Linked DNA regions of Macaca fascicularis. The protein of the gene in region 2 interacts with the protein of the main gene of each other region in a biochemical or structural test. Links are inferred from orthologs where the notes say so. Each region holds a gene or a part of one and is shown on either strand. Other genes may lie near its edges.

Region 1 (5,243 bases), on a different chromosome or scaffold from region 2:
CCCAGTGTAAATCTGGACTCGGCTCTGAGAAGGTGGTTCATCACAGCGGGGGCTTAGTTTGCTTTCTGTAGTTAGTGGCGTTTCATGGTTTTCTTTATCCAGCGTACAAAGCTTGAGACTTTGGTGCAGACTCGTGGAGGCTTGCCATTTCTTTGTCCATAGGAGACAATGCCCTGGGCCACCTTGTTACACACAAGGGGGCCTCCAGAGTCCCCCTGTGAATAGAGAGTGGAAGGACTGAGCTGATGCTCCTCTGGGTCCTGCCCTCTCTGCCATCTCAAGCCCCCACTTAGAAAAGGCCAACTTGCACAGCGTGCATGTGGGAGATGAGAGGGCAGGGCAGGCTGCTGGTGGCCCCCAGCTGCCAAGCTCTGGCTCTGGAAATTGTTACTGCTTCACCTCATCCCAGCGGCCAGCCTCCGTCATCTCCCCCAGATCCTGAGATTGCAGGAATGTGGGACCGTTGGCTGTTTAAGGACCCAGAAGTGGGCAAGGAGGGCTGATATCCACCATGGAGGACCAGCCCATTAACCACGTTGGGTACTGACCTCTGAAGACACACCTGGTTATAATTACTGCATTCCCAGTGGGCACAGTTTCCTAATATCTGTGACCTGGAGTGGGTAGAGTGTTGCAAATTCATCCTTCCAAAGGAGCACCATCCACCATAAGCCTCCTTGTAAGTTTGCAGAGGCCCTAATTTCTCCCCAGCTCTGTCTAGTCCCCTTTTCTCTTTCCAGAGAGAAAGATCACAGTCTAGTGGGTGAAGGAGTCCCCCACTACTTAGGTCTGCAGGTCTCAGATCTTCCCCAAACATCTTTCTCCCCAGAGCCAATCCAGGTAGATGCATAGTCTCACCTTAAAGGAAGCCTTTTGAATCTCTGGGTCCCCCACGCACAACTCAACAGTACTGTCGTAATAACGGCCTAAGCGGGATTTGCACGTTTGATCTTCCTCCACTGTCAACTTCACCTCCTGCAGTGTGTGTGCGTATTTTCCATCGGGGGTCGTCTGTCCCCAGCCGGCCACATCGCACGCCTGCCCTGGCTTCACCTGGGCCTTGTTCCTAGGTAGCCTGAGGGGCTGCACAGCTGTGGTCCGCTTGGCCTTTCTCTCCAGCTGGTGGGGAAGAGGCAAGAAAGTTCAGGTCAGCCAATGAACTTCTGGGCCCTGACACAGTGATGGGACTATGCTGTCTTCTCTCTCCTCTGAGGCACAGGAATTAACCAAAAGGCCAGGATGGAAAGGAGGGAAGGGCCTGCATCACAGTGGGAGTGGAACCAACCGGACTTCTTGCTCAAGAAGAGCAAGAGTGGCAGGAGTGTGCCTCACCTGTAGTAGCATGATGTCGTTGGAAAAGTTCTCAGGATTATAGGCTGGGTGGGGGATGGCTCTTTTCACAGGGATAATCTGCTGGGTCCGCTCCTGTTCCTTGATATTGTGGGCCCCCAAGGTGACATTTATGGAGCTGCACAGAGAGCAGAGTGAGGATGGGGGCGGAGTCACAGAGGACACAGCCCAGAGACAGTGAAGAGCAGGTGACAGCTGGGGCAGGGCTGCAGCTGAGGGGAAATTAAGGGGACAGTCTGTCCCCAGGAATTGGAATTCTGGTAATTGCACCATGTTTCTCAGGGGTCGGTTCCCCCTTGAAACACCGGTGGAATTGCTTCAGTTTGTATTCTTATGCCAAAGTATGCCCCCGGTTCTAAATATGGCAGGGTTGGTCACTCTGCTGTTTCTTACTTCAGCAGCGCCTCTGGAACCAACCTTCCCCCCTCTCCACAAACTTACCTGCCCTTTTCTCACCCTCTAAGGAGCCCTCCTGGCATATGTGTTCCCAGGAGCCCAAGGAGCTCCTTGGGAAGAAGGCAGGGGTCTCTGTGGAGTGTTTCCGGGAAAGTATGGGCTGTTTTCTGCTCCTCACCTTCCCCAACAGTGAGCAGCTGTCAGCACGAAGTCCTCTCGTATCAGGAAGCCACCGCACCTCTTCAGAGACATCTGATCCCAGATCATAAGATAAGCCATGTAGGGGCGGGAGTGGGGCTTGGCCTCATGTCCCCCGATGATCTCCCCTGAAGGAAAAGTCTCTCTGCTTGTGTGCACCCACGGAATCTGCTGGGTGGGCACCTGCTTGATGGCTCCAGAATTCCTGGGCATTTGGGAACCTGGGATAGCCTGGAGTTGGGAGGGGCCTGGAGGAAGGGGTTTCAATTTCCTGCTCTGTAAAAGGGAAGAACAGCAGACTTTGGTCTGTAAATCTTTCTTCCATATGTAGTCGAAGGCAAGCATACCTGTCTTAGGGACAGTGAAATCCCAGAGGCTCCTGATCATTCCTTTCCTGACTTTGCTTTGTTTCAGGTGAGTTTCCAAGACCTACGAGTCCCATGGTTTCTAGGATAGTGCTGCTTTCTAATAGCCAGGGCATAAGTGGAGGGATCTAGATACTGTCATATGCTATTTCCTAGAGCCTGACATGTAGTGGGTGCCCAATAAATGTTCATGGCTGCATGATGGACTGGCTCCAGTTAGCCTCTGGATGAGGGCTGGCAGAGCAGTGCTGGTGGAATTCTAGAAAACGGAAGTTCAGGCTTGCCATAGTGCCTCATTCTTGGAAAGAGGGGAGCCACCAAAGGCCAGGGAAGAAAAGCAGAGTTGGAGAATGGGACTGAGCAAACACACTAACAGTGTTCTGAGGACAGTGATTGCACCAGTTCTGCTGTCAGCTGAGCTCTGGGTTTCTCTCCTAAGTAGACGGTGAGAGAAGGACCTGTGTTATCCCAGAAACAGAAGCCAGGCCTACTCTAGAATAATTTAATATTTCTCTTTTCTAGTTTCCCATCCTCTGCCATTTACTTCTAGGAAAGTCTCACTCTCCAGGTGACAAAGGTGGGCTCTGGAGAGGGGATAGTACCCACTGGCTCTTCTTGAGAACGGCCTTCTGCTCTGCCATTCCTGCTGATAGCTTATCCAGCATCACACCTGGGGGGTCTTGGTACAATGGGAGCTGGAGTTCAGAACATTCCTGGTAGATAGATGGATCAGGAATGTGGAGAAAGGGCAGGAGACCTATGGGATGGGGTTGGGCCCCCGAGGGTGGAGACGATCACTCACCTGCATCTGTCCTGCGCAGCAGGAGGAAGGCCAGCAGGAGCAGGATTGGTTGCATGTTCTCAGAAAGGCTGTCCTGGTTGGAGCTGCTGTTGTTTCCTCCTTGCTCTCTTTTAGCTCTTGGGAGAGGAAAGAGGTGGAGCAGGCTCAGTGACTTCATGTTCCCCTCTGGTTTTGTGGTGTCTCATCACAGATTTTCTGTGAATGCTGCCCACCCCCACTGCTTCTGCCTGATGACGTCCTCTGGGTGCTTGTGTGAAAATCATGCAGTGACCACATCAGCACCCACAGCTGATGACTCAGAGTAGACTACCTATTCAGCCCAGAGCAGGAACCCAAGCATATGAAGTGAACTGTAGGATATGGTATCAGCCAGTAGAGGTACTGAAGCACCAGAAACCTGAGTTCCCAGTGATAGAACCCCAATGCCTCAAGGCCATGCTGCTAAATCCATCAGGATAGTTTCTTTAGCAGTTTGTGCTGGAACCAAGCATGTTGGAGATGTGTCTCCTTCCCTTAGAGAGCTGACCGTCTGGTTGAAGAGACAAATGCCAGGAGCCAGAGTACAGTTTGGGGAGGGCCATGGTAGAGCAATACACAAGGTAGTAACAAAGTATGGCCACCATCTACTAGACCCATCTAGCAACCCATTTATTATCATAGCTTCCTTTCTAGGGAATTTCTAACATCCTTTATTTAGTTACAAATATTTAGTGTGAGAGTTCACCTCTTTTCTGAACGCTTTCAATAAAAGTCCTGTACTTGACATTTTATTGGGCTAGATTAACAAATTGCTAGGAGTTGAATCCACTTTGGGTAGGCTGGGGTCAGTCCACTCAAGCCACTAGAACCAAGAATGAGAAAGGGCTGGTTCTCTAAAGGACGTTTGTAATGCTAAACTGCTGATACCATGTGAAGTGAGGAAGCATGCCAGGCAGCCAAAGATAAGTAGTTGTCTTTTTTAGTATTCTGTCTCCTGTCCAGAGAGCCACACTTCTTACATAGCAGGCTCAGCACATAATAGGCACACAGTAAACATTTGCTAAACAAACTACACTAATGCTATCGTTATGATGGATGTGAAAGATGGTTGTTTCTAAACAGCCTGTGCCCAATTCTATTAAAAAAAAACTAAATCTCTCTACGTGGTTTGATTATTGTGATTTGTTTCCATCTTTGTATTTTCTGTATTTTACAATTTTTCTATGAAGAATGGTATATCTCAAAAATAGAATTCCAGTGTAAATGTCTTCCTTGTCAATAGCAAGCCAACTACATTTATCAGACTTCTGTTTTTTGAACCTAGCTTGCCCCATAGTAGATGTTTTAAAAATATTTTTTTCTGATTATAGTCATAACATATGTTTATTAAGAAAATTTGGAAAGTAGGAAGGGAAAATATCACTTATTAATCTGTCTCCCACAGACTGACTGTTACCATAAGCAGTGTGTTTTAAATACTTGGGATCACATTGTACAGACAATGCAGTTTATTTTATCCTTGCTTAACCCTACAAATTAAGCATTTCTAAAATTATTCTACTAATAATTGTAGAAATCTATTAGTTAATACAACTATAGTCTTTCTTTCCTAGGCATTAAAAAATTTAACATGCAAGTAATTTTTAAATAATTTGAGCAAAGAGAAAATAATTAAAGTTACCTAATTTCTCATAATTCACTGATAACCATCTTTAATGTCTTGAAGTATGCTCTAGCACATTTTTTCTCATGTAATATCTGTCTTTTTTAAAATTAAAAGGGGATTATGCTAAACATAAGTTTGTGACCCATTTAAAAAATTGAGGTAAAATTCACATAACCTACAATTAACCATTTTAAAATATTCAATTCAGTGACATTTAGCACATTCAAAATCTGCAGCCACCACCTCTGGATATTTCATATAAACGGAATCACACAATACATGACCTGTTATGGCTGACTACATTCACTTGTAATAATGTTTTTGAGATTCATACAAGCTGTAGCACATGCCAGTACTCGTTCTTTTTAATGGCAAAATAATGTTCCCATTATGTTTATACCACAAGTTATTTGTTCATCTGTCAACGGACATTTGGATTGTTTCCATCTTTTGGCTATTGTAGCTAATGCAGCAATAAACATTTGTG
Region 2 (3,401 bases):
GGTTCTGTAGTGGAGTGGTAGAAAGCCCAGGAGCCCTGGCTACAGGCCCAGCATAGCTTTGTCACTTTAGACTGGTTTGTTAACCCTAGTACATGTCCCACATCTGCACAAGTGAAGCTAGTAATAATACAACTCTCATGGTGATTGGAAGGATAGAGATTACCCGTAGCAGAATACCTGATGAACCGTAATAATGTCTGGGGCTTTTCCTTGAAGACACTATAAATGTTGTAATGCTATCTTAAAATTGTTGGGAAGTTAGAATCAGAGACATGCAGTTCCTCTGAGTATAACAGATGTGTGTGTGTATTATAGGATCATATTGTTTTCTAGTTTTATTTTTTTTAAATATGATGATTTTCCCATGGCAACATTTTATCTGTGAAAATGACAACATAGTATATCCCATTATATAAGTGAGTGTAACTTGTCTAACCAAGCCCCTAGTGTTAGACATTTGTTTCTGTTTTTCACCTGCCTAAACAGCTGTGAAAGATCATTTTGGCTATAACACTGATAAGCTTATATTATAAAATATAAGCTACAAAGTTGAAGAGATTTTGTGTCACCAAACTCAAAGTAGTTAGAGTTCTCTTACCATTTAAAAGGAAGAATTTATTGTGGACTTTTGAATTGCTAGGTAGTTAATTTCATTTCAAAGTAGTTATTCTTTGCTTTCAATACAATTAAAAGTAATTCTTTCTGTTCCAAGGAATGGCATCTCGGTCTGGTACAGATGTTGATGCAGCAAACCTCAGGGAAACATTCATAAACTTGAAATATGAAGTCAGGAATAAAAACGATCTTACACGTGAAGAAATTGTGGAATTGATGCGTAATGGTAAGAAGAAACAATTAGAAGAGTGAACTTCATTGTACAATTTTATATTATGGTCTAGCAATAATTACATGTATAATATGAGAATTGTGGAATTATACTGTACCTAACCCTAATCTTACATACTTTAGTAAGAAATTAAAAAAAAGTTATTTATGCCAACTTCCTAAAATAGTTTGAGATGTGTTGCTGTGCCCCAGGTTAGATTAAGATGATCTCTCAGTTTTATTCTCAGTTTCTTCATCATGTTCCCATACAGTATATCTGAAGTTGTTGAATAAAGTCATGGATTTTTTTCCTTTTATTTGCAAATGTCTTTCCAGTTTCTAAAGAAGATCACAGCAAAAGGAGCAGTTTTGTTTGTGTGCTTCTGAGCCATGGTGAAGAAGGAATAATTTTTGGAACAAATGGACCTCTTGACCTGAAAAAAATTACAAGCTTTTTCAGAGGGGATTGTTGTAGAAGTCTAACTGGAAAACCCAAACTTTTCATTATTCAGGTAATGTATAACTGAGTGATTTGGTTGTTGACGATTAAGCAGGGGTTACTTTTCTTAATTGGAAATTATCCAAAGGATTTGTAGTTTTTTTCCTGAAGTTAATGAACTATTGTTATTTTTCATTTATTTAAACTACCACTTAAAAGATACAGAGTAAATTTTAATTTTATACTTATATCAAAAAGGCTCAGCATAATTAACATCCATTTTTACATAACGTTTTTAGGAATAAGTTACATGTTCACACACAAATTTTTATAAATAAATATTTATTTTCTAACACCCAGGCCTGCCGTGGCACAGAACTGGACTGTGGCATTGAGACAGACAGTGGTGTTGAGGATGACATGGCGTGTCATAAAATCCCAGTGGAGGCCGACTTCTTGTATGCATACTCCACAGCACCTGGTGAGAAAGTTACACATAATGAATGTTACATGTGGATTTTAAATGAATTACACTGTGACTAATCAGAATTATACAATGAAGAGTGTGTTTCAGAGACTGTCAAGATTTTGATATCCCTAAAGATATCAAAACTTGTTTATATTTTAGAGAACCTTCATCAAAGAGAAGTCTCAAAAAGTTATCTTTAGCCAAAAGTTTGGCTAGAAAATATGCATACATAGCCAGGCACGGTGGCTCACGCCTGTAATCCTAGTGCTTTGGGAGGCCAAGGCAGGCAGATCACTTGAGGTCAGGAGTTCACAACCAGCCTGGCCAACATGGTGAAACCTCGTCGCTACTAAAAATACAAAAAAATTAGCTGGGTGTGGTGGCACATGCCTGTAATCTCAGCTACTTGGGAGGCTGAGGCAGAAGAATTGCTTGAACCTGGGAGGCAAAGGTTGCAGTGAGCCGAGATTGCACCACTGCACTCCAGCCTGGGCGACAGAGCGAGACTCCGTCTCAAAAAAAGAAAAAAAAAATGCATACATAGAGTAGACTAGCACGATGTCATTCATTGGACTTATGTGGCAACAGAGGCCAAGTCAGAGCTTCCGCTGCATCTTATAGAAGAAGAGAGGTATGTTTCTCAGGAATTATTTGAAAGGTAGTAAATAAAAAAGATAAACATGACTGGTATACAAGAGGATAGATGTGGAGTGGGAGAAAATAAAGAAGGTAAAAAATGATACATGAATATGCCGTTAACCTCCACTTTTTTACAGTTCCGCTGCACATCGTCTAAATAAATATTTGTTGATTATACCACCATTTACTTACACAACTAACTCAGGGTGTCAGAGTTTGGAAACTTAAAGTAAATGTATTCTTAAGCAGTGTGGCATTTTAAAATATGCTCAATATGGTTTATTTTATCCTCTAGGCATCTTTCCAAGCAAAGTACCTCTAAGTTAAAAGCAGTGGGTCTAACATTTAACCTAGAAAACAAAGTATGATAAATACACTATTTTCCCTTTTTAGAACTTTTGAATACTCGGTAGTGTGTTTATTATACTTTATTCAGATGCTCTGTAGACAAGCAGGACACTCAAAGCAATTTATTTCTAGACTAAGTCAGTATTAAAATAAGGTGAAATCTGATTGGAACACTGTGCTACTTAAAATGATCCTTTTTATACATCTTTACTTTTGCATCTTCTGTGTGTTTGCTGTTCTTGCCTATTGAAAGGGGAGTCCAAAAAGTAAAACTTTGAATAATTCAGTGTTCGTGAAGCTGGTCCCGGCCCCTGTCTTTGCTGAAAGCAGGGGCTGTACGCATAGCACACATTCTTCCTTCTTCAGCATCATTTCTTCTGAAACCAAAGGTGTCTTTTTTTTTTCTTTGACTAATAAGACTTGTGGGTTTATGCTTATTCTTGCCTTTATGACTACATAATAATTTATAGAATCAACTAAAATCAGCTATCCATGGTATTTTCGTTGTATTTTGCCTTTTAGGTTATTATTCTTGGCGAAATTCAAAGGATGGCTCCTGGTTCATCCAGTCGCTTTGTGCCATGCTGAAACAGTACGCCGACAAGCTTGAATTTATGCACATTCTTACCCGGGTTAACCGAAAGGTGGCAACAGAATTTGAGTCCTTTTCCCTTGATGCTA

The links.
Region 1: of the proteins of CASP3 (region 2) and GZMB, one has a biochemical effect on the other in vitro, tested with the Homo sapiens proteins (2 studies listed by BioGRID). The link is inferred for Macaca fascicularis from reciprocal best matches to the Homo sapiens genes CASP3 and GZMB.

What each region holds. Positions count from the first base shown.
Region 1 is NC_088381.1:92,433,312-92,438,554, forward strand, and holds the start of GZMB (granzyme B), read right to left. Parts: upstream 3,197-5,243; 5' UTR 3,167-3,196; coding exon 3,112-3,166; intron 2,073-3,111; coding exon 1,925-2,072; intron 1,469-1,924; coding exon 1,333-1,468; intron 1,120-1,332; coding exon 859-1,119; intron 216-858; coding exon 72-215; 3' UTR 1-71. UniProt on the Homo sapiens protein: Abundant protease in the cytosolic granules of cytotoxic T-cells and NK-cells which activates caspase-independent pyroptosis when delivered into the target cell through the immunological synapse. It cleaves after Asp.
Region 2 is NC_088379.1:189,403,528-189,406,928, reverse strand, and holds part of CASP3 (caspase-3), read left to right. Parts: intron 1-712; coding exon 713-841; intron 842-1,161; coding exon 1,162-1,337; intron 1,338-1,624; coding exon 1,625-1,745; intron 1,746-3,242; coding exon 3,243-3,401. UniProt on the Homo sapiens protein: Thiol protease that acts as a major effector caspase involved in the execution phase of apoptosis. Following cleavage and activation by initiator caspases (CASP8, CASP9 and/or CASP10), mediates execution of apoptosis by catalyzing cleavage of many proteins.